Macaca fascicularis: one gene and its partners. The protein of the gene in region 3 purifies or fractionates together with the protein of the main gene of each other region. This does not show direct contact. Links are inferred from orthologs where the notes say so. Each region holds a gene or a part of one and is shown on either strand. Other genes may lie near its edges. The genes, in order: DHX15, PRPF8, SF3B4, ILF2, PHF5A, RBM17 and DDX42.

The links.
Region 1: the proteins of SF3B4 (region 3) and DHX15 purify together in Homo sapiens (co-immunoprecipitation; 4 studies listed by BioGRID and IntAct, with this or other methods). This does not show direct contact. The link is inferred for Macaca fascicularis from reciprocal best matches to the Homo sapiens genes SF3B4 and DHX15.
Region 2: the proteins of SF3B4 (region 3) and PRPF8 purify together in Homo sapiens (affinity purification with mass spectrometry; 4 studies listed by BioGRID and IntAct, with this or other methods). This does not show direct contact. The link is inferred for Macaca fascicularis from reciprocal best matches to the Homo sapiens genes SF3B4 and PRPF8.
Region 4: the proteins of SF3B4 (region 3) and ILF2 fractionate together in Homo sapiens (co-fractionation; 3 studies listed by BioGRID, with this or other methods). This does not show direct contact. The link is inferred for Macaca fascicularis from reciprocal best matches to the Homo sapiens genes SF3B4 and ILF2.
Region 5: the proteins of SF3B4 (region 3) and PHF5A purify together in Homo sapiens (affinity purification with mass spectrometry; 6 studies listed by BioGRID and IntAct, with this or other methods). This does not show direct contact. The link is inferred for Macaca fascicularis from reciprocal best matches to the Homo sapiens genes SF3B4 and PHF5A.
Region 6: the proteins of SF3B4 (region 3) and RBM17 purify together in Homo sapiens (affinity purification with mass spectrometry; 4 studies listed by BioGRID and IntAct, with this or other methods). This does not show direct contact. The link is inferred for Macaca fascicularis from reciprocal best matches to the Homo sapiens genes SF3B4 and RBM17.
Region 7: the proteins of SF3B4 (region 3) and DDX42 purify together in Homo sapiens (affinity purification with mass spectrometry; 3 studies listed by BioGRID and IntAct, with this or other methods). This does not show direct contact. The link is inferred for Macaca fascicularis from reciprocal best matches to the Homo sapiens genes SF3B4 and DDX42.

What each region holds. Positions count from the first base shown.
Region 1 is NC_088379.1:23,698,089-23,702,366, forward strand, and holds the start of DHX15 (ATP-dependent RNA helicase DHX15), read right to left. Parts: upstream 2,801-4,278; 5' UTR 2,652-2,800; coding exon 2,581-2,651; intron 1-2,580.
Region 2 is NC_088390.1:1,799,951-1,803,450, forward strand, and holds part of PRPF8 (pre-mRNA-processing-splicing factor 8), read right to left. Parts: intron 2,461-3,500; coding exon 2,331-2,460; intron 1,938-2,330; coding exon 1,741-1,937; intron 1,478-1,740; coding exon 1,271-1,477; intron 1,137-1,270; coding exon 973-1,136; intron 822-972; coding exon 695-821; intron 582-694; coding exon 389-581; intron 110-388; coding exon 1-109. UniProt on the Homo sapiens protein: Plays a role in pre-mRNA splicing as core component of precatalytic, catalytic and postcatalytic spliceosomal complexes, both of the predominant U2-type spliceosome and the minor U12-type spliceosome.
Region 3 is NC_088375.1:111,356,219-111,358,344, reverse strand, and holds the end of SF3B4 (splicing factor 3B subunit 4), read right to left. Parts: intron 1,200-2,126; coding exon 1,026-1,199; intron 915-1,025; coding exon 727-914; 3' UTR 501-726; downstream 1-500. UniProt on the Homo sapiens protein: Component of the 17S U2 SnRNP complex of the spliceosome, a large ribonucleoprotein complex that removes introns from transcribed pre-mRNAs.
Region 4 is NC_088375.1:107,501,063-107,505,231, reverse strand, and holds the start of ILF2 (interleukin enhancer-binding factor 2), read right to left. Parts: upstream 2,801-4,169; 5' UTR 2,735-2,800; coding exon of another isoform or gene 2,730-2,734; 5' UTR 2,411-2,729; coding exon 2,343-2,410; intron 2,030-2,342; coding exon 1,970-2,029; intron 1,681-1,969; coding exon 1,638-1,680; intron 438-1,637; exon of another isoform or gene 419-437; coding exon 314-418; intron 1-313. UniProt on the Homo sapiens protein: Chromatin-interacting protein that forms a stable heterodimer with interleukin enhancer-binding factor 3/ILF3 and plays a role in several biological processes including transcription, innate immunity or cell growth.
Region 5 is NC_088384.1:10,143,649-10,147,606, reverse strand, and holds the start of PHF5A (PHD finger-like domain-containing protein 5A), read right to left. Parts: upstream 2,801-3,958; 5' UTR 2,772-2,800; coding exon 2,720-2,771; intron 2,270-2,719; coding exon 2,246-2,269; intron 1,755-2,245; coding exon 1,588-1,754; intron 1-1,587. Other genes in the region: ACO2 (aconitate hydratase, mitochondrial), read left to right, coding at 3,266-3,301.
Region 6 is NC_088383.1:7,064,927-7,067,315, reverse strand, and holds the end of RBM17 (splicing factor 45), read right to left. Parts: intron 2,092-2,389; coding exon 2,019-2,091; intron 1,873-2,018; coding exon 1,769-1,872; 3' UTR 501-1,768; downstream 1-500. UniProt on the Homo sapiens protein: Splice factor that binds to the single-stranded 3'AG at the exon/intron border and promotes its utilization in the second catalytic step. Involved in the regulation of alternative splicing and the utilization of cryptic splice sites.
Region 7 is NC_088390.1:70,316,136-70,319,635, reverse strand, and holds part of DDX42 (ATP-dependent RNA helicase DDX42), read right to left. Parts: intron 2,861-3,500; coding exon 2,813-2,860; intron 2,301-2,812; coding exon 2,203-2,300; intron 1,440-2,202; coding exon 1,163-1,439; intron 1-1,162. UniProt on the Homo sapiens protein: ATP-dependent RNA helicase that binds to partially double-stranded RNAs (dsRNAs) in order to unwind RNA secondary structures. Unwinding is promoted in the presence of single-strand binding proteins.

The DNA of each region.
Region 1 (4,278 bases), on a different chromosome or scaffold from region 3:
AAAAACGTCCCTAACATGGAAAACTTTTTTCCATACTTCAACAGTAAGTTGTCTCTTGGTAATAACTGTATAGTGAAGACTCTGTGGGTTGACAAAAAGAAGAAATGAGGCCAGAATACGCAACAGAAACCTATAATAACTTCACCTGATTTCAAAGTTAAAATATGTCAAGAATAAAATAAAGACTTATATAGTTGGGAACATTAATGTAAGTGAAATCTCCCACTGAATTACCTTCTCTTCTCAGTATTGGAGACATCCTATCTGGCAGTGGAGTTTGTAAGACTGACAAGCTTATGCTCTCAGATAAAACCACTTGCTGACTATCAGGGTAAAAAAAAAAATCTGCAGGATTGCATGGCAGTCAACAAGTGACTTAAAATTATGGAGTATGAAAAAAAATCCTGATGCTGATAAACACTGTAAGTCCACTGTTAAATAAAGCCAGTTCTATGATAAATGGCACTCAAATGACATAGAAATTAGTATTAAAACTTCCCTCTACAATTTCTTATAACTTGAGCATTATTCCAAAGATGAACTCGCCTTTATCCACAGGCAAATTCTAAATAATATACAAGGGAATCATAAAGCTACCATTTGACCCCGAAAGTCGACATGTTTACTAAGGGTATCTGTTTTTGCAAGAGATAGTAAACAATTGCACATACATATGGTGGGACCACTAATCCCAAGGGAAGCATTTTAAATGGTGCACATATGCACAAATACAAATGAATTCATTCATTCCCTCCCAGAATATTTTGTTCCAATCTGACCTCCTGTTAGAGACATCAGTTCCAGATGACAGCAATTTATTTTTGCTTCAGAGAAATCAAGAACTAAGTGTTCCCTACTTTACCAACCCATTATAAATGTCATTAAAATAGGCTGTAATGAGTCTTAACTACAGTACTGAACTGTGTGCTGCTGAGTGAAAATGATAAAGGCAGGGTTCCAGATCCTGCTGTAAACTTGCCCAAGCCACCTTAACTGTTCTCCATTTCTCATTCCTTGAGTGGAGCTGTAGAGTCTTTTTTAAGTTGCTCCCAGCTCTGAGAGTCTGTGACATACAGCTCAGAGGCATTTAACGTTTTGTGGGGGGTAACGGTGGGGGACAGTGATAGCCTAAAGAGAGTCTGTCTTACAGTGTCATTGTCTTTTTACAATGCCTAATATCGCCAACTAAACAACTCACAAAACTGTACATGCTTTTGCTTTGTATTGAATAATTCAACATATGGGAAGGTCTCAAAGTACATCCTATCCTGGCTTATACTCTACAATGACACTAAACATATCCCTAGAAATCAATTTCAATGAAGAACTTCAGCTGAAAATTTCAAAAAAGCTAGACAAGGGGACTTGACACAGTGATTCCGTATCACAAGTACACAATAAAATGATAAAATTATGCAAAGTATTTGGATATTCGGGCTTTTGTGGGTTTTGCCTGAATTATCCAAATAGGTCTTTGTACTTCAGCAATGAAAACACACACGGGAAAGAAACAGATTTTCATAAAACTGCTTAAGTTAACTGTTAAATTCCTCTGTATCTTTAAGGAAAGGAATCTGGAACACCATGAGTTTGTGTAAGTATTTCAACTCTCAACCTCCACATGGGCGGTGTTTCGCCATCAATACTAAAAACACGTTTTGAACATGATCCCTGTATTTCAAAAGCTACTTATGAAGAAAAGTGGGACATGCACAGAAAATAAATGATGAAAAAAAAAAAAAAAGAATGCCTTCTAATCCCTCCCCATGGGATGATGTTCGGTAACCACTTTTAACCAAAGCAGGAAATAGAGGAGATGGCGGGAGCGTAGGCAGAGGGCGGAAGTTTGCTAGTATCTACTTTAAAGTGTTTGAATGGACCGAGACACGCTCTCTCCCGCCAAACTATAAACTCAGTCGCCCCAAAACACCAGCCTTCCAGCCCACCAGGTATTTTACTCCACCCTTCCTTTCTCCCGGCAAGTCCTCTACTCCACTTCCCCAGAGAACTCCCCATTTGCTGGCTTCTCTCAACTCCCGCCACCCCCACCCCAGCCTACATTAGGATCCACGCGCTGCTCTCACTTTCCGCCCTCCGCCTTTCCCGTCTGGAGTGCCTGGCCGCGCCCCCACTCAGGCCCTCCCCATGGCCCCTCTGCCTGGGAAGTGCCTGGTGCCCTTGGAAGCGAATACTCCCGCCGCGCCCTCCCCCACTCTCTCCCCCGGATCCAGGCCTTCCTCGGGAACCGAGGCCACGAGGTCCGCGGTTCACTCCCGCCCCACGCCCTCGAAAGTGACTCCTGCTCGGTTCGGCCTGGGGGAGGAGGCGCCCTCATGGCCACTGCAGGCCTCTCCACCCTCCGGACTGGGTTGGGCACCGGCCCCGCCGCACGCAACTCCCCGCGCCCTTGCCGGGCCGAACGGGCGCCGCGCTTCTCCGACCCGCCGCTGGTGAACCCAGCCCAGAAGGAAACAAAGGCTCGGGCTCCAGGACCCGCTCGGCCAGGCCAGTCCCAGCCCGCTCCCTGCCAGGACCCCAACAAAGCCCGAGCTGCTGCCTCGCGCCCCCGGCCTGGCTTACCCATCGGTCCCCGCACGCTTCTTGCCAGAGGGGTAATCCTCCCCTAGGTCCAACCGGTGCCGCTTGGACATCCTCGCACTCTTCGAACGGGCGGTTATTAAGGAAGAAAGCTAGCCGCTGTATGGGCACAGTGGAGGACAGCCACTTAACTCTGGAGGACCCCCACCCCTCCCGCTACTACAGCCCACACGGTGCGGCCGGAACCAGGAGCTAAAATGGCGGCGGCGACGAGGGCTGGGCCTGCGCGCGCGCGCGCTTCCGCAGCGTGCGTGCGTGCGAGTGTGCGTGTGAGCGAGGTGCGCGCGCACGCCGCCCAAAGGCGGGAACTCCTGTCCCGCCCGCTGCCTCATTGGTCCGACCTTTCTTGCGTCTCCTCCCTCTTCCCGTAGCTTTCCCCTCCTAGGAGCGGCTGTTAGGAAAAGCCTGAAGGCCTTCACTTTCCATTTCAGTCTATCCTTGCCCCTCTGAGTCGAGAAATTGAGGAAGTCTAGTCCTAGTTAGGAAATCCTATTCATCTCTATTACCCCGGCTTTAAGGGAATCTCAGACCCAGAGAGGTTGAGAAACGAAGATCGTACAACTAATAAGTGGCAGAGCCGGGATTGGAACCCAGCTATTTAGTAACTCCAGATCTGGAACTTGAGGCCACCCCGCTACTCTCAGTTGCAGTGAGGGACCGCGCGCGGTGGTTCACGCCTGTAATCCCAACACTTTGGGAGATCGAGGCAGGCGGATCACGAGGTCAGGAGTTCGAGACCAGCCTGGCCAACATAGTGAAACCCCGTCTCTACTAAAAATACAAAAATGAGCCGGGCGTGGTGGCGCACGCCTGTAATCCGAGCTACTCGGTAGGCTGAGGCAGGAGAATCGCTTGAACCTGGGAGGCAGAGATTGCGATGAGATCACGCCAGTGCACTCCAGCCTAGGCGACAGAACAAGACTCCGACTTGGGAAAAAAAAAAAAAATCAATTGCAGTGAGGAAACTAAAGTGAGAAAATCTTAAGGCTTGTCATGATCTAGTTTGCCCTTTTCTTGCCCAGCACAGACACCCATGCACTCAAGCTATAGATGTTTTTAGCTAGAATACAGAGAATTCGCAGTGAGGGCACAATTTGCTTTTATGTTTGTTTTTTTGTTTTTCTTTCTGTGCCTATTAATGCACTTTCACAGTGTTAAATAACACCCTGCAAGGTAGTTGTTATTTTGTAGACGTGGACGCAAAGGCTGCGGAAGGTTAAATCTCACGGCCATAAGGGCTGTACCTAAAGCCGTAACAAGGAGGTGGGGCAAGATGACTCTAAGGAATTTTGTAGATCTCTCCCCCTAGAATATCTCTGCTTCCTCAGTTGCATTCGTTCCCAGAAGAAATGCACAAGAAAAGATCTGTGGACTATCTGCAGCAGGGTGATCTCTGTTGTTCATGGAATGACTTGGTTTGGCTGCCGTGGAAGATCATACTCTGGTTCTTATCAAAGTCTCGGGACTGCAATTGCTAGGATTAAACACAACTTAAATATTGCAACTGATGAGGGGTTTGTGTGTTTGTTTTGAGACAGAGTCTTACTCTGTCGTCCAGGCTGGGGGACAGTGGCACGATCTCAGCTCACTGCAACCTCCGCCCCCCAGGTTTAAGCCATTCTCCTGCCTCAGCCTCCCTCCTAGCTGGGATTACAAGCTCCCGCCACCCCGCCCGGCTAG
Region 2 (3,500 bases), on a different chromosome or scaffold from region 3:
TTGAGCAGGGTCAAGTCGATCTTCTCATACATCTTCTCAAAGCGGGACTCCAGCATGACATTGCACTCGCCTTCACTTGTCTCCCACACGTCCTGCAGGTTATTGATGCCTGAGGAGTAGCAAGGCAGGTCTCCAGCAGGTTAGAAATCCTCTTTCAGGACTAGCCCCACAGTAACTATCATCACCTTCCACAACCAATCCCACTACCATTCCACGTAGGCATCCGGATTGCTTTGACTATGGGCTTTCCTCAGTTTAACAGGAACACTACTTCCTTTTACTACCATGCATCAGGAGAGTAAACCAATCATGCTGCCCAGATGAGAATTTTGACATAGAACTAAATTCATCCCCCATTCCTCACAGGGCAATCTCAGGAAAGTTCTACCTTGGCACCACTTGTAAACAAGCAGTGGAGGTGGTTCTGTGTCAGCAGGCTTAATCCAGGGTGGGAACAGGCGGCGCTTGTCGGCTTCATACCACAGGTATTGGTCCAGGTAGGCATCAGTTATCTTCTCCAGTGGCTCTACGTCGTATACTGGAACCAGGTGGCTATAGAGATCCATGAACTCAATGCCCACCTGTGGTACAAGGAGGCTGGTTCACACCAATCACCTGAGGCAACCTGCTACCTTTGGTTCTACCAAGAATGAAAGGCAGAACCAAAAAGAAAACTTGGGAGGCTCTCACTCACCTCTTTGAAGGCTCTCTGTGTGAGGAGGTGACGCTTGATGCGGGACAGCGCCTCGTGGGGGTTATCGTAGGCCTGCTCAATCAGACCTAGCTCCTCCCTCTGTGACTGGTTCAACCGAGACTTCACACTGATAAGGCAATGGCAACGGTGAATGGGAAAACCAGGAGGAAGTAAAACCAGAAGAGACTGGGGCTACACCTTCTCTCTTTGGACTCTGAGGGTGATGCTATTCCCTCCTGTCACCTTCCCAGCAGGAACCTATCTACCCTAATACTCACCTATAAGCTTCCTTGAGCCGCTCCAATGCCAAGATGAGCAACTTGGTGTCATGCTTATAGGAGAGTGGGGGGAATGGGATGGGTGAGAACCTGCGGCTTTCCAACCAATGCACTGTGGTGGTATATACTGCCACTGCTTCCTCCGCCGTGATGTAAGGCCCGTCCTGCAAGGTGGACATGAAATTAGCCTCCCGCTATAGCCCGCTCCCCCGAGAACAAGGTTCAGTCACAACTCTGCAGTCCTCCCTCATGCCCACTCCCCGACCGCTCACAGCCAGCCCAGCCTACTCTGCCCAACCTTCAGGTAGTTGTGCTGCCGCTCCTGTTCTGCCTTCAGATACAGCCGGGTGAGGCGGCCCAGGTTCTTTTTACACACAGTCTTGTCCACAGTGGCCCCTCGGCGGATCCGTTCTCGGTTGTAGTGGGCAGTGTTGGTCCACCAGTCAGCCTTGGCCTTCACATATCGAAGGATCATATTCTCTATGGGCGTTGGCAGTCCAGGGACCTAAAAGTCCAAAAAGCACAATCAAGCCGGGATAAAGCAGGTGCTGCGGTGCACACCTGTAGTCCCGGCTACTCAGGAGGCTGAGGAGGACTGCTCGAGCTCAGGAGCTTGAGCTTGAGGCCAGCCTAAGCAACACAGCAAGCACCTCTCTAAAAGAGAAAAGAAAAGAGGTGGGAGCCAGATAGGCCCCTCATGAGTCCCAGAGTGGTGATCCTGACCTAAAGACGATGTTCACCCCTCCAAGGAAATGCAGAGACGCCCACCTTCCAGGGAATGTTGGCTTTCCAGCAGCGCCAGGCTTCACTGAGGTGCTGGAGGATTGTGCGGGCCTTGTTCTGTTTGATCCCCTCAGGCATCATGTCCAGAATATCATGCATCACAGCTGCCCGCAGCTCCAGGTCGAAATGTGACTCCACTCGCTGTTTTGTTACTGTCTTTGCCACCCCCTTTGAGTGTCGACCTAGAAGTAGAGTATCCCAAGGGGATTACAAGCATGATTCCTTGCTTTCAGTAAGGGTCTCTACCTTCATGTCCCTCACTTATTATGGTCACAATAAAATTAGGTATTAACAAAGCGTCCATGTGCCCAGCATATGCAAAAAGATGAGCTACCTTAAACATTCACAACTACGCTTCTGAAGAATGTCCACTCCTGCAAGTGCATGATTGCCTCTCAAGGCCCCAGAAGGAAGCCCAAGAAATAGAAAACTAGGTCAGACTCATTTTGAGAACTGAACCTGAAGGCAATCCAGTAGGAAGGGGTGCTCATACAAGAGCAGGGAATAGACTCAGACAACGAGAGGTAGCTTTGAAGCAGTAACAGGAGAAGTTGGACACAGAGAAAACCACTCACCTTCAAACTGCCGGGCCAGGAGGTTGCCCAGCCATCGCTCCAACAAAGGGGTAATGCCACGCATGAAAAACAGCCAGACTCGCCAACCAGCAGCCCAAAAGCCACAGCCAGGACCCTTCCCTACAGGGCCCTATAATCCCAAGCAGAAGTTAAGAACACAAGTTAGCAATGCATTTAAACAGCAACAGAAACCTGGGCAGAGGTGGGGCATATATGTATAATATACATACAGGCCGGGCACGGTGGCTCAAGCCTGTAATCCCAGCACTTTGGGAGGCCGAGACGGGCGGATCACGAGGTCAGGAGATCGAGACCATCCTGGCTAACACGGTGAAACCCCGTCTCTACTAAAAAATACAAAAAACTAGGCGGGTGAGGTGGCGGGCGCCTGTAGTCCCAGCTACTCGGGAGGCTGAGGCAGGAGAATGGCGTAAACCCGGGAGGCGGAGCTTGCAGTGAGCCGAGATCGCGCCACTGCACTCCAGCCTGGGTGACAGAGCCAGACTCCGTCTCAGAAAAAAAAAAAAAAAAAAAAAAAAATATATATATATATATATATACACATACAGACGAATATATGGATGGCAGTAGAGGAGTAAAAAGAAAAAAACAACTCTGGGTCCTCAACATCTAAACAACATCTAAAACAAAAGGGTAAATGAGAAACCTTAAGGCAAAAACCAGGAACTAAGACTGCCCATGTGAATTTAAAGGGGCAGTAAGGATACACTCATAGCTGGTCTCCAAATAGGTCCCTGGAAAGAGCCCTGTCTACATGTATAAATGAAAAAAGATGTGAGAAAGTAAGTCCAGTGAGGCTGCGTACAGTGGCTCACGCTGGTAATCCCAGCACTTTGGGAGACCAAGGAGGGTGGATCACCTGAGGTCAAGAGTTCAAGACCAGCCTGGCTAACATAGTGAAACCCCATCTCTACTAAAAATTCAAAAATTAGCCAAGCATGGTGGTGCGCGCCTGTAGTCCCAGCTACTCGGGAGGCTGAAGCAGGAGAATCGCTTGAACCGGGAGGCAGAGATTGTGGTGAGCCGAGATCGTGCCATTGCATTCCCCCGGGGCAACAGAGCAAGACAGTCTCAAAAAAAAAAAATAGATAAATAAAAAAAAAAAAAAAAAAAAAAAGCTAGATTACAGGTGGCGGGCACCTGTAATCC
Region 3 (2,126 bases):
GGATCGCTTGAACCCAGGAGTTCAAAACCAGTCTGGGCAACATGGCAAAACCTCACCTCTACAAAAAATACAAAAATTAGCTGGGTGTGATGGCATACACCTGTGATCCCAGCTACTTGGGAGGCTTTGGTGGGAGAATCACCTGAGCCTGGGAGGTTGGGGGTGCAGTGAGCTGTGATCATGCCACCGCACTCCAGCCTAGGCAACAGAGCAAGACCATGTCTCCAAAAAAAAAAAGAAAAAAGAAAAAAACACGATGATCCTACACTATAGATATTGGGTCCCCCTATCTTCCAAACTAGAAGATAAGCTCTATGTAAGGAAACAATTACTCTAGTGCACAGCAGAGCTCAGCAACTGCAACAGTACATTACAGAACAAGCCTTTAAAATGTGGAGTGAGCACCCTTGCTCCTACTCCTACCTTACCATTCTTTTCATGATACTCTGACATCTCTTCTTAAAGAAAAAAGTTACTGTTGTCAAGGAAAACACCACAAATAAACAAGCAGTTTAGTTTTATTTTCTCTGTGCATTTGCAAAATACTCAGGACCAACATAAAAAAGAAATACCTCCTGTGGAAAAAATTACATTAAAAAGGGGAATGGGCTGGGGGTGCTAAAAGGGATTAGTACCTTAGCCCCAAGGAGCTACAGCATCTCTGATTGGTCCAAGGAATAGAAAAGATATTGGGAAGATGTAACAGGAGGAAGGAAAAATGTGAATTTACTGAGGGAGAGGGCCTCGAAGTGGACCTCGAGGGGGAACTGGTGGCCGGGGAGTGGGTCTGGGTGGAGGGAGAGGCCCCCGCTGGTAGCCATAGGGTGGGGGTCGTGGAGGGCCAGTGTATCCATGCGGGGGCATCAGTGGAGGAGGTCCACGCATACCATGCGGAGGCATAGGACCTGGGTGACCTGCAAGGAGTAAAAGAAAAGTTAGTAAGGGCACGGGACAAGGGATGTGCCTACAGGAAGCTGTAAGAACATGATAGGTGCAGATGAGGGAGGTGGCTAGAGACGACTTACCCATGGGAGATCCGAATGGAGGCCCTCGGGGGGGCATACCCATTGGAGGAGGTCCAGGATGAGGCATTCCAGGTGGTGGTCGGGGTGGTGGCTGCCCCCCAGAGCCTGGGGGTCCAGCGTGGGGATGTCCTAAGCCATGAGGGCCATGGTGTGCCAGCTGCATCTGAGACATCCCTATGAAAATAAAACAGACACAAGAAGAAAAGAGACAAAGAGAAGGCAAAGAAAATAGAGAAAAGAACAAAATTAGAAAGAAAGTGACATCAGAAAGAGAACTATACAGAAAAAAGGGTACAGAAAATAAGGCTGGCTGGGCACAGTGGCTCATGCCAATAATCCCAGCACTTCGGGAGGCCTAAGTGGATCACTTGAGCCCAGGAGTTCAAGACCAGCCTGGGCAACACAGTGAGAACCCATCTCTATCAAAAAATACTTTTAATTAGCCAGGCATGGTGGTGTGTGCCTGTAGTCCCAGGTACTCAGGAGGCTGAGATGGGAGGATCAAGGCTACAATAAGCCAAAACTACACTACTGCACTCCAGCCTGAGTGAAAGAGTGAGACCCCATCACCAAACAAACAAACAAACAAACAAAAAAAGAAGAGTGGTAAAAAGTGCTCCCTATCCTTGACCCTATTCCAACAGCACAAACCAACCAATTACTCAATCAACTCCTTACGCTCGCTTCTCCCATGATTTAGGTACTGTAATAGTAATGCTGAAGTATATAACAAGTGGAGTAATGACTCTGTTGATAGGATTTGAGAAAGTAGCAGAGAACATACTGTCTAAGCCAAGATCTAATTCTAAAGGATGAATGCTTCAGGAGGGTAAGATCATGGGAAGAAAGCATCCCAAGCAGAAAGATTACAGGTGTGTCAAACAGCACAATATATTCCAGGAAATGCCAGTTAACTCAGTAATCAGGAGCAAAATGCAGTTACAGAAATGAGGGGCAGGGGCCAGCTCATAAAGAGCTGTGAATGCTATGGTAATGAGTTTGAGTTTTACTCTGTAGGTAAAAGGGAGCAACAGAGTCATTTTGAGCAAGTGTGTGCACATCTGTGTTTTAAAAAACCTACTCTGTGAAAGTAGATCGAAG
Region 4 (4,169 bases), about 3.9 Mb from region 3:
AGTATTTTCTCCTAATCCCTTCCATATGAGCTGACTCAATACTGACCTAGGACTTTAAAAACACTTCATTCTGGCCTTGAATATATGGAAAGAGAACAACTCTTTGTCCCCAATAAAAATAAGAATGCATATGTAATTTGTTTATATATTCACCTGGCTATCTCCACCCACAATGAGAAATAAGGAGAACAATTAAACCCTCTGTGGATTTCAGGCTCTGTTAACACCATTCTTAACCTTACCAACAGTTACTCTTTACCAATACTTTTACCTGCTTTAGAGACATTTCTGGAAGACAGCCAAAAGAACATACCTGTTCAGCAGAATTAGGAGCCAGGTCCTGATTCCTCTTCAGCAAGGCCTCACTGAAGGAGGTTTCATCAGGTGCTGGCTTGACCCGGGGGAAGGCCATTTCACACTAAACCAGAAGTAAACAACTACATTCCATTTGCCGAAAATAATATACAGGAGAGATTGTTTTTTCTATTACTACGACAGAAAAAGGTTAAAAATAGAAAATTCTACACTTGTTTTTACTCCTTAATTTGTTCAATTAGCTGGGCATGGTGGCTCACGCCTGTAATCCCAGCTGAGGTGGGAGAATCCCTTGAACACAGGAAGCGAGGCTGCAGTGAGCCAAGATCGTGCCACTGCACTCCAGCCTGGGCAACACAGTAAGACCCTGCCTCAAAAAAAAAAAAAAAAAAATTTGTTCAAAGGCCAGGCATGGTGGGTCACGCCTGTAATCCCGGCACCTTGGGAGGCCGAGGTGGGCAGATCGCTTGAGGTCAGGAGTTCAAGATCAGCCTGGGCAACATGGTGAAACCCCGTCTCTACTAGATACCCAAAAAACAGCTGGGCATGGCGCCTATAATAGCAACTACTTGGGAGGCTGAGGCAGGAGAACTGTTTGAACCTGGGAGGCAGAGGTCCTGATTCCTCTGCCTCCCGGGTTCAGTGCAGTGAGCCAAGATTGCACCACTGCACTCCAGCCTGGGTGACGGAGTGAGACTCTGTCTCAAAAAAAAAAAGAAAAAATGTTCAAACAAGGATACAAGCTGGAATAGCCATAATTTAAGCTATCACTATCTTTATAGTAACAAATTAGCCATAGATACGATTACTTGTTCAGAACAAAGATTATAATCATGTTTAATGCCAACAGTAGTCAAGGAATTATTCTCCCCACCATGCTTACACTGTTTCTGTAGGTAAAGCAACACACAGTTGACTCAAAACCCCAAGTCTTTTCAAAAATCACTTTCCCCCTCATTTCAATCACCATTTTTTTTTTTTTTTTTTTTGGTAGTGGTGCCATCTCAGTTCACGCAACCTCCGCCTCCCGGGTTCAAGCGATTCTCCTGCTTCAGCCTCCCAAGTAGCTGGGATTACAGGCACACGCCCAAGCAACTTTTTTATTTTTACTAGAGATGGGGTTTCACCATATTGGCCAGGATGGTCTCAAACTCCTGACATCAGGTGATCCATCCGCCTCGGCCTCCCAAAGTGCTAAGATTACAGGTGTGAGGCACTGTGCCTGCCCTCTTCAACCACTATCTAACTTCATTAACTGGGAGATACTAGGCTCCATTTCAAGAATGGCCAGAAATTGTGTATTATTAACCCAAGGTACTCACCAAATAGAAGTCAAATGGGATATGTGGTACAAAGGGCCTGAACCTAAAACATGAAAAACAGCCAAATTATTCCCTATGTAGGAATCAAGTGAGATTTAAATAACACCAACAATTTTGAAAACATGTCAGACCTCAGAATGAGTGACAAAGTCTCTGGGGAGGGAGAGAATCATTCTTAGCATAGTGGGGCCAAATTCATTTAGCAGGAGTGCGGAAAAGACCACAGTTGGCTCTCACAAAACCAAGTGACATTAGTCTATTCCAAAACTCCTATTTAGATGACAAGCAGAAACTAACAACTAAGTGCAGAGATGCTAAAAGCTGGCACTCACCCTCCTCCTGGGCCTCCTCTGGAACCAAAGCGCCCACCACGACCACGGCCTCTGTCACCCCTAGAAATGCAGATTTTATTTTGATCTCATTGAAGGAATACCCACCGGCCATGTCATTTTAAGTTGGCTACTTTCATCCCTCGGAACCTCCCAACGGTAGGCAAGAGACCCCACTCACACACTTCTCCCCATTCCAAATGGTGCCCAGTTACACCCCCATAACCTCCTCATTCTGGATAAGTTAATCACAACCCCCCATCAAGTAATGATGGGGCTCAGACAGTGAGCCCTACACGAAATAACCCATAATCCTGGGCCACACGAATCCTAATACTTCGGAAGCTAAAGATTGCTCATTTCTTCATTAACGTACACATTTATCGGGCATGTCCTGTATGTCAAGCCCTTCGCACTGAGGATGAATGCGGCTCGCTCCAGCATTCTCAGCCCGGATGACGGGGACGGAGGGAAGGTGGGGAGCTCCTCCGTGGACTTGAGGACACCTCCTCATCGCAACCCTTCAAAGAGAGGTGTCGAACCCGCCTCCCCACTCCTGGGCCCCGGCCCCAACCCCATCCCGGGCCCGTTTCCCCGCCTCTACCGGCCTCACTCTCTCCCACTCTCCTAGACCAGGAGTTCTCAGGTTTTTGGCCAGCTCCCGGATACATGGTCCTTTTAGGTACTCCGACTTCTTTCGACCCACGTTCCCAAAGTTTTCCGTCGAATACCTGAAACCTTTCGACCACTTCGACCCCCTTACCTCATGGCGCCTTAAAACACGAACAATGGAGGCCGCACCAACCGCCCCTTTCCTCTGAGGAGCAGACAACTGAAGAGGAGTCTTGCCGGCGTGTCCCAATAAAACCCGGCGTGATTGGCTCCCGCCTTACCCCATCGCTTATGCCTATTGGCTTACTTTGTCAAACCGGGCTTATGAACCAATAAAAAACGCCTACTGTGTCAGGAACTAGCCAATAAGAACTGGTTCTATAGTAATGACGAATTTTTGATCAGACATTAGGTGGCACTGAAGAAGTCAGGACAACGACTACGTGGTCTTCTATAACAGTTATGAGAACGTTGGCCTTCAGATAGCAGAGTGGCGCAGCGGAAGCGTGCTGGGCCCATAACCCAGAGGTCGATGGATCGAAACCATCCTCTGCTATCGGAATTTTTTTCATTGCCCTGTACCGTACACGTAATTTACATTACATTCAGTGAATGAAAATACCTTGCCGATTTTCCTACCCCAAAAACGCAAGCGGTATCAGCCATTTTTGCCACTAGCAGTTGAAGTTGATGGGGAAAAGGGAGTTTAGGCAACTATGAACACTACACGTCTACAAACTCGAAGCAGGAGAAACAGGTTTCAGATAGGAGGAGTATATTGATTGAATTAATGTGGAAAACAGGTGTTCCACCCGCCTCAGCCTCCCAAAGTGCTGGGATTACCGGCCTGAGCCACCGCGCCCGGCTTGGTTACATAAATTCTTTAGTGGTGATTTGTGAGATTTTGGTGCACTCATCACCCGAGCAGTATACACTGAATCCAACTTGTAGACTTTTATCCCTCATCTACCTCCCTTCCATACGTACTTTTTTGATATTTAATTTACTACAGCAGAACGTAAACATCTTAAGTCTAAACGTATTCTGTCCACATAACCACCATCCAGATTTAAATAAATGTTATTAATTTAAAAAAAAAAAAAAAAAAAAAGGGCCGGGTGCGGTGGCTTGTGCTGGCGGGCACTTGTAATTCCAGTTACTCGGGAGGCTGAGGCAGGAGAATCTTGAATCCAGGAGGCGGAGGTTGCAGTGAGTTGAGATGGCGCCACTGCACTCCAGCCTGGGCGATAGAGGGAGACTCCGTCTTAAAAAAAAAAAAAAAAAAAAAAAAATCTTGCTTGAGGTTTGTTGAGCTTCTTGAATCAATGGCTTGAGGTTTGTCATCCATTTATATAATTTATTAGCTATTATATCTTCCAGTATTAGTTTTACCTATTATTTCCCTCCTTCCTGAACTCCAAAGACGTATTAGACTTTTCCCCCAGTAATCTCTTTGTCTCTTACCCTCTCTTCTATTATTTTATTTGTACACAGGGTCTCACTCTGTTGCCCAGGCTGGAGAGCAGTGGTACACCATCATAGCTCACTGCAGCCTCGACCCCCTGGGCTCAACAGACTCTCCCATTTCGGC
Region 5 (3,958 bases), on a different chromosome or scaffold from region 3:
GCCTGACCAACATGGAGAAACCCCGTCTCTACTAAAAATACAAAATGGGCTGGGCGTGGTGGCGCATGCCTGTAATCCCAGCTACCCGGGAGGCTGAGGCAGGAGAATTGCTTGAACCCAGGAGGCGGAGGTTGCGGTGAGCCGAGATTGTGCCACTGCACTCCAGCCTGGGCAACAAGAGTGAACTCCGTCTCAAAAAATAAAAAACAAATAAATAAATAAATTAGATAACTGGGTACTATCATTAACCTAGTGAGACTGTATCATACTTCCTTTTGTTTTGTTTTTTGAAGAAAACATGCTGATTCATAGTTTTCCCCCACAAAAACCCTGCTGCCAATACTAAACGAAAGAAATGGGGTAAACCTTGCCTGTAGCACTGGTCTATAAGCTCTCTCTCCTGGCATTTGGCTCAGAGAGTTGAATAGTAAGTAACCACTGCCACTACGCAGTGTCAAGGGACAAAAAAAAAGTCATGATGCAGGGCCACAATCACTTCTGCAATATTAAACCAAAGGTACTTGTTAACTGCTTAAAGCTGAAGTCAACTTGAATCGTCCCAAATTCAACTTTGTCACGATATACACCCGAATAGTGCTTAATGATAGATCTGAGACGTTAATGAGTGGCTATGACACAACATGGGCTGTACAGGCCTTATAAACAGACAGGGTCTCTGTCACCCAGGCTGGAGTGCAGTGGCATGAAAATGGCTCACTGTAGCCTTGACCTCCTGGGCCCAAGTGATCCTCCACCCGCCTCAGTTTCCCAAGTAGCTGGGACCACAGGTACACACCAGCACACCCGACTAATGAAAAATATGTTTTTCTGGCCAGGAGTGATGGTTCATGCCTGTAATCCCAGCACCTGGTGAGGCTAAGGCAGGAGGATCACTTGAGCCCAGGAGTTTGAGACCAACCTAGGCAACAAGACAAGACCCTGTCTCTACAAAAAAAAAATTAGCCAGGTGTGGTGGCGCATGCCTGCAGTCCCAGCTACTTGGGAGGATGAGGTGGGAGGATCGTTTGAGCCCGGGGGAGTCAAGGCTGCAGTGAGCCTTGCACGTGATCATGCCACTGCACCCCAGCCTGGGCCACAGAGCAAGAGACCCTGTCTCAAAAAAAAGGAAAACAAAAAAACAAAACAAAACCAAAAAACCAAATTGTTTTTTGTTGTTGTTTTTGAGATGGGATCTTGCTCTGTGACCCAGGCTAGTCTTGAACTCCTGGACTAAAGTGATCCTCATTAACTTGGACTCCCAAAGTGCTGAGATTACAGGTGTGAGCCACCACGCCCAGCCGGATGTCATTTCTGAATAAAAATAATCACAGAGAAACATGAATAGAGAGAGGGCTCTTCAAATTGCTGGTCTTGACAAAGATTTGCTTCCCTTGCATTTTTCCCCTTGATGCAAAATAACTGCCTTTTATTGAACTACACCCAGTTTGACTCACAGAACTTGAAAAAATTATAACCTAGATGACTAGATGAACACAGTAATCTCCATAGACCATAGGAGATTGCAGTGGATGGCAAAAAAGCAGGAAACAAAAGCAGGAAAGGTCAGATGGAAAGCTGTACACTTACATCCTTCTCCTGGATGGTGCACTCCTTACAATAATACGCATCAGAGACCCCAGGGCCTCCACAGATCACACAGCGTCCCTGGTAAGATCCATAGTTACACTCATCACATATGCGCACCAGAGTGCAGGGACGCACATAGGAGTCACAAATCACACACTTGCCATCACCTGTAAGGAAGAGAATGGAGTCATACTCACAACAAGTTCTTCAGTCCTCTGCTATCTCCTGCCATGGGGAAATACACTAGTCTCCTTTTGACAGTGACTTTAGGACCCTCCTCTTGGCATCACGAAACTTGGTTTACCCAGTATCCATCTCAAGTCCCTCAACATATACAAAAGTTTATCAATTAACATATGTAAAGAGCCTAGAAAATCACCTCAGAGATGATAAGCCTATATAATTGCCGGCAAAGTGCTGTGTATTAGGGAGGGGTCATGCTACTCTGGCAATTTTTCCTGTTGAAAACTAGAGAGATACAGCGTTAAATGTGCAAGTGGCAGTGGGGAGACAGAGGGGCCTTTGGTTGAAGTCCAGCATTCAGTGTTCACATACTTCCAGGCACATCTACTCAAAGCCCTCTTTGTGGCACTTTTGCTGGTTCCACAGAAACTGGGAGTGGGAAGGGTGGGCTGTTGGGACGGAAGGTTCCACTCACATTTTTCACACAGTCTTCCGATGGCTGCAAGATGAAAGATGGTTAAAAAGTACAATTAGAATAAAGGTTTTGACAAACGGGAAGTACATCCTCGAGCTGGGGGTAGGGACATGAGTACGGACTGCAGTGATACCTGCGGATAGCCATTTTATCATTACAAATTTCCAAATGAACCAAACCCACAGCCCAACCACCCTTCTGAATCTCCTCCAACGTCCTGGGGCAAGCTCTGAGTTTCTGTGGACCTGGCCCAGACCCCACCCCCGATACCTGCCTGGGGCTCCCAGCACGCGCACCCCCGCCCTCTTCTCATCAGCGGCCACAAACCTGTGCGTTCCTACAACACCCCGCGCCCGAGAGGCGGGAAACGTGGCGCCAGCTGGGCAAGCCACTAAGGAAGTGATGGGAACCCCCGACCCCCCAGCTCCTAATACCACCCCTACCCAGACAGACAGGGGCAGGGCGCAGTCTCACCAACACCAGCCTGCTTGCGGCAAAAGATCAAATCAGGATGATGTTTAGCCATAGCTCCCAATTAAGCCGGCCACCGGAAGCTTCCGGAACTTCCGTCCGACCTTTATTTCCCATTGTTCCTGCCTCCACGTCGCTGTGATTGGTCCTCTAAGCTTCCGTCAGTTTACGATCCTTGCACCAGGCCCCTCTTGCTCTCGCGCGAGTTTCTGTCGCTGCTGTGTGGCCAGGTCCTGGCAGGTGCATGAAAGTCTTAAAAACACTCCCAGATTTGGATGGCAGAGATAACTAAAATTTGTTCTTGGATAAAACATATTTGTGCTTGGTATCTACTTCTGCAAGTGTCTTTAGGCAGTTCTATTTCCTCTTGCGTGTCTGTTCATTACTCTTGAGCTCCGCTCATTGCGTTCCCAGGGTTCTGGTGCCCCTAGGGAGGCCTCGCCTTCACCGTGACGCCCCACTCTTCCGGGCACGCCCCTGCCCAAAGGCTTTAAAAGGCGCCGTTTGGGACGTCACTTGCATGCGACCTCATCTTTGTCAGTGCACAAAATGGCGCCCTACAGCCTACTGGTGACTCGGCTGCAGGTGAGCGAGCTCAGGGACCTCTGGGTTCACGGGGGCGGGGTGCCTCCTACTGTGCCGGCGGCTATGGGCGAGGCAGGGCGAGGCGGGCCCGACCTAGGGCCAACTTCTCGTGTACCTGTTCCGGTTGTGGGCCCGGCACCCGTGTCCGCTCCTCTGGTGCCCTAGGTCAAGGCGTCCCCGGCACAGTCAGCTTTCCTGGCCCTGTCCCCGCCTCGCAAGAAGCGTGGGCCCAAGCAGCGGCGGCCGGGTGAAGAGCGGAGGCACCTCTTTCTTCTTTTTGAGGACAGCATTCCCTGCTCCCGTGGGGTGTCTTTCCATTCCTCAAGGTGAGGACAAGGTGACTAGGGGGCGCGGTCGTTGTTGAGCCTTCTAGGCCCAGTTCCTGAGGCCTCACTTCCCATCTCTTAGCAACAGAGACATGACAGCATCTACGGTTGCCAGGCCTGGAGTCTGGAGAAGAAACTAGGACCCTGTACCACCTTTTGAGGACCCTGCGGAACATGGAATGCCCGAGGGGGGGAGGTGGTCTTCTGGGCCCCTACGTAGTAAATAATAATAATAGTCTCTCACGTTTGCACAAGATTTGAGGACTGTTTTTTAATTCTTCATAATATTATTTGATTCATGTAATCATAGGAATGAGATGATTTTTCTCAT
Region 6 (2,389 bases), on a different chromosome or scaffold from region 3:
ATAAATAAAGCACTAAGTGATTAATGCAGTTACGGATAATTTTAAAAATAAAAGACTGGGGAAAAAGGCATGCAATAAGTTGTGCCCATGCGAATGGAAATCAAGTAGTATGAGTTGCTTGCAATTCTCTGGTTGCTGACCATGAGAATGTGAAGAAAGGCCACCTAAATGCAAGCAAACAATGTTATTACAAAGCATAACAATAAATGCAAGCATGAAAGGTGGGTTGGAACCATTAGTTTCTGAAATCAAACTAGTCCTTGTTACATTCAGCATGGCACACTCGGGTACTTGTAAGCTCAAACATGGTGTCCGCTTGAGGAATGGTATGCCTAATTCCACAGATAACTAGTTTCAGGGCTGCTTTGGATTCTTTCTGTCCTCTACAATGTTCAATTATGTAATTTACCTCACATTCCTTAACCCCAACTGACTTTACAGAACAGGTGCACTTTTATCATCAAACTCAACTTTATTCAATAAAATAATACCACAAAAGATAAAATGTTATTCTTTTATTTATGTTAAATAAAAACATGAGAAAATCCTTTTTTAAAAAGGGTCAGAATATTCCTTATGTCTCCAAACCAAGTCCATGGATGCAAAGAAATGCTGAGTTCTTGATACACTTTCATGTCATAATAACCAAAGGAGACAACACGGGCTCGAGTCTTTCAGCTGCCACTTAGGAGAGTCACATGCAGTATTTGGGAAAGCAAGGAACAGAACACAGGCATGAGTATTTTCTGGAAATACCTCCTGCCCTGGCAATGAACCTCAGTACCAAATATTTTTGTTTTCTTTTTTGTGGTCCTGATAAATTTTTAAGCCACACATCCTATTGAACTTCAATGATACAATTTCTCACAATTCCAGAATTCTATTAATTGGCAGTACAGTTTATGTGGCCAATGTGGATAATTTTATAAGTTTTAAAATTACATACAATACTATTGCAAATTTTGCCAGTAGAAACATGACCCCAAGGAACTGCCATTTCCAAAACATAATTGGGCACACATTTACAATGCACCTGCTAGGTTTTGAATTCATTTGTCATTTCTGATCTACCCTAAAGACTATGCTTGAATCTCTGAAAACAAATGCTAGATTCATGATTTCTATACCCACATATTCCATAAATCCATCACAAACCCTACAGTCTGACTTAGCTTAACGGCAAATGATTCATCCAATAGGCATGGTATGTTCACAATTCTTCAATCTTATTCAGGTTGTAAAGACGTTTTTCTACAACTGGAGTCACTAAGAATTTCTCTGTTAGAGAAAGCATCATTTTCACCTTTGGCACACTGCCAAGATGATACTTTATTACAGAATTTATGAAACTACAATATAGTAACTTGCAGGCTTTATTAAAAGAAAAAGAAAAACAAAGAATAATTTAATATCACCCCATGTCCCAAAATTTTCTATTTTTTTTTTTTTTTAAGTGCAAGAAATGCTGCATCATTGAAGCACTTGAGAATTACCATGAAATCTAACAAAAAATGTCATCAACTCAGGAGTAATAATAAAAAAGAGAAACAACCAGAGAGGCACACAGATTGTTGTTTTTTTAAAAGGATTTTTATACTATATTAAAAAACCACAAAATAAAAAAGGGATCAATCAACATATATCTTAGAAGTCCTTCCAAGAGTCTTGGTATGCAACAGCCATGGAGGCTGTGACCTTTTTCCTTCTTTTCTCAGCCTGCAGTTCATTTAAGGATCACCGGAGATGACTCGTGCTCTAGTTCTTAAAATCAAACTTGTTCTGCCAAATCCAAGACCCTGAATTTGTCCAAATTGTAGAAACATGCTTTTACCACCCGTCCACCAAAATACCTCCCATTCAAGTCAACAACCGCTGAAAGGCAAACAAAAGACAGTTAATATAGGTATCCTATAAGACATTATAAAGGTTTAACTTTAATTAAACAGTAACTTTACTTGTAAACATTAAGGCTGTAAACTCAACTTTTTAATTCTTTAATATTTAGCTGTACAACTAACCTTTAATTGCTGATTCAACTCTCTCAAATTCTAAAAATATCCGTACTGCTTCATCATCAGGGGCACCAGGAATCTGGAAGAAAATGAGAGTGTGATGCGTAAAGGGATTTGAGATTGCATTGAATGAGTTTTCTCTTTTAAATGATTTCTCAGAGTGAATCTTCTAATTATCATCATATACAGTCAACTAGTTGTCAAATACCAAGGAAATAAGTATAATTTGTTCATCATCAAAAATGTACTGAATGCCTGTTTTTATGACAGGCATTGTTAGTGCCAGGAACACAGGGCTAAGCAGTTTCTGACCTCATCAAGGCTCTGTGCCAGCGGATGACGTAAACAAATAATTATGTGGTCAACAAACAGCAACA
Region 7 (3,500 bases), on a different chromosome or scaffold from region 3:
TATCTTTTGCATCAAGAATCTGCCATGCCCTCTTCTCTTGCACTGGGAATATATTTTTAAAATGTGTCATGAAGCTGAGAAGTTCTCTCCTTTCTGGGAATATCAGTGTTTAAGGGTAGTTATTAAAACTTGACAGAACAAAGCAGAAATAATATTCCAAAAACTGTTCTCATCCTGAGTGAAGTTGCCCAACTAAGCTGTGTATAGTAGATCAATGTAAGATATCTACTATATTCAGACATACAATAAGGGCATTCATTGCCTTTTTTCCCCCAGTGACTTCTAGCTGCAGGGATTCTTTTTTTTTTTTTTTTTCTTGAGACAGATTCTTGCTCTGTCGCTCAGGCTGGAGTATAGTGGCCGGATCTCAGCTCACTGCAAGCTCCACCTCCCGGGTTTAGGCCATTCTCCTGCCTCAGCCTCCTGAGTAGCTGGGACTACAGGCACCTGTCACCTCACCTGGCTACTTTTTTCTATTTTTTAGTAGAGACGAGGTTTCACCGTGTTAGCCAGGATGGTCTCGATCTCCTGACCTCGTGATCCGCCCGTCTCGGCCTCCCAAAATGCTGGCATTACAGGCTTGAGCCACTGCGCCCAGCCGCTGCAGGGATTCTTTGATCAGAGAGAGACACTAAGTGAAAAGTGGTGTCGGCCGGGCGCGGTGGCTCAAGCCTGTAATCCCAGCACTTTGGGAGGCCGAGACGGGTGGATCACGAGGTCAGGAGATCGAGACCATCCTGGTGAACACAGTGAAACCCCGTCTCTACTAAAACTACAAAAAACTAGCCGGGCGAGGTGGCGGGCGCCTGTAGTCCCAGCTACTCGGGAGGCTGAGGCAGGAGAATGGCGTGAACCCGGGAGGCGGAGCTTGCAGTGAGCTGAGATCAGGCCACTGCACTCCAGCCTGGGCGACAGAGCGAGACTCCGTCTCAAAAAAAAAAAAAAAAAAAAAAAAAAAAAAAAAAAAAAGAAAAGTGGTGTCTAGAGCTCCAGACTGTGATCCCTGTGCTGAACTGCTGCTTCCTTGGGGGTTTGGGAGGGGATGGCCAGTCAGGCCAATAGTCTTTCCATCAGCCTGCTCAGATATTACACGTCTTATACAGTAAGACAGAGTACCCTTATAGCCTAGGAACTTAATGTTGTTGAAAAATTCATACTCTACCTGCAACATCTGTGGCCACCAGGACTGGGATGTCCTTTTTCTTAAAGTCTGAAATGACCTTGTTTCTCTCACTCTGATCCATATCCCCATGGAGCAGCCCAAGATTATGACCCTCCTGTTTAAGGTTATTCGCTAGCTCTTCAGCATTGGCTTTTTTAGTAACAAAGAGGAGGACACTCCCTGAAGAGGTAAACTCTACCAGACGCCGGGTAAGCCAGTTCCATTTACTAGGTCCAGAATGGAGAATCTCCACAATCTGTGTCACATCTTCATTTGCCTGAGAAGGAAGAAATGAAACAGATGATTGTGACATTGGAGTCACAGGCCACCTAAACAAGGACTAGCATTGTATTTTCTACCTGCATCGAGAAGACCTTCAACAATCCAGTTCTCCTTGGGCCTTCCTTCAGCAAGTCAAGTGCAGCTCAAAACTCACCTCTCCTTTTCAATCACCTTGCTCTCCGCCTGGTGTATATACCTAATTTGTATGCCCCACTACTTTCTAGAGCTTTCCTTAACAATAACCATGGCAAGCAACTGAAGGATTCTTAAGCAGCCATAACTGAATTCCAAGTCCCAATTCAGAGAAATTTTCCATATAGCGCATATGTACAGGTAAGAAATGAAACCTGATTTTTGCCAGGCCTTTCAGGTCACCCTTTCCCTCCTGTGTAGGCCCCTCCCACAATAATTAAAACGTCAGTTCCAACCTAACACACTGTAGTATGCTTCCAGGCAGATCTTTTTGTCTCTTTGAAGCCTTTTTAAAACAATTATAAAGTTTTGAGACATTCAGTAAAACAAACAGAAAAGCAAAATGAACAAAATCAACTCGTACCCATCATCTAGCTTCTATGATTCCCAATATTTTGCCAGTCCTCTTTCATGTATCCCCACAACTTGCAAAATACCAAATCTCAAGCATGTTGCATCTATAAACATAACATCTTTTTTTATCTCAATAGTGAGAAATTAATTCTGTGTTCCATAATATGAGAAATAAACACATTAAGGTCCCATCCAGCCCTGTTTAGGGTTACCTCTCCAATATCTCCCTGCACCACTCGAATAGGGTCGATCAGGATGTCTCTGGCCAACTTTTCAATCTTTTTCCGAAAAGTTGCACTAAATAAGAGAGCTACAAGATAAGATAAATTCTGTTAGAGAAACAGTATATCTTTATGAATATCCATTAAGCTTCTTTGGCATTCAAGATTATTCAGTTTTTTTACATAAGCTCACCTGAGCTTTAAATTTAGTTTAAAAATTGATTCACTAGAGAAAGATTTGCTCTTATTCTATTTTTATTACATTTTTAGTTAAGACAAGTTGTCAGCATGGTTCAGAAAAAGACTCTTGATTTCAAATCAGCAGATCTGTACTGATCATTGCTTCTACCCGCTGATAAAACTGTATAATTTTGGGCAGCTTATTTAATTTCTGAGGCTTGCTTTTATCATCTATAAAAAGGAACAAGTTATATCTAGTGCTAAGATCCTGTCCAGCTCAGATAAACTCATTACCTCCCTCGTTACGGTTCTCACCAATACACACATGATCATTTTTACTTCCATAACTCTGAGTGCTTATAAAATAAATAAGTGTCCTTTTTAGTACAAATTTGGTTTAACGAAGGTGCTTCATACATACTCTGTCTGTCAGGACGAACATGACTTGCTATGGATCGAACTTGGTACTCTGGAAGAAGCAGAACAATAAAATTAATATTATAACCTGAAATACAGTTTGGGAAGCCTGGAAAAAGCCATTGTAGTAAAAGTATTCACAAGAAGTTGTAAGAATTAAGAAAATTAGAAACCCCAGGCCGGGCGCAGTGGCTCATGCCTGTAATCCTAGCACTCTGGGAGGCCGAAGCAGGTGGATCACCGGATCACTTAAGGTCAGGAGTTTGCAACCTGGTCAACGCAGCTCTCTCTACTAAAAATACCGAAAAAAAAAAACAAAAACAAAAAAACAAACTAGCCAGGTGTGGAGTAGGTGCCTATAATCCCAGCTACTCAGGAGGCTGAGGCAGGAGAATCGCTTGAAACTGGAAGGAGGAGGTTGTAGTGAGATCGCACCACTGCACTCCAGCCTGGGCAACAAGAGTGAAACTCTGTCTCAAAAAAAAACGAAGCTCCTAGACATATCGTTCAGTATAAAAGTGAAAAATTTTCCCTCCATCCAACTGGGCTAGGTCTAGCAGTGTTCCAATCAGTAAAGACAGCTATGAGGATAGGAAAGCAAAGGGCCTCGAATCATCTGACATTCACCTACCCAAGTACACAGACCTTAACCTCTATGATCAAAGGCATATGAATAAAAATAAAGACAGAGA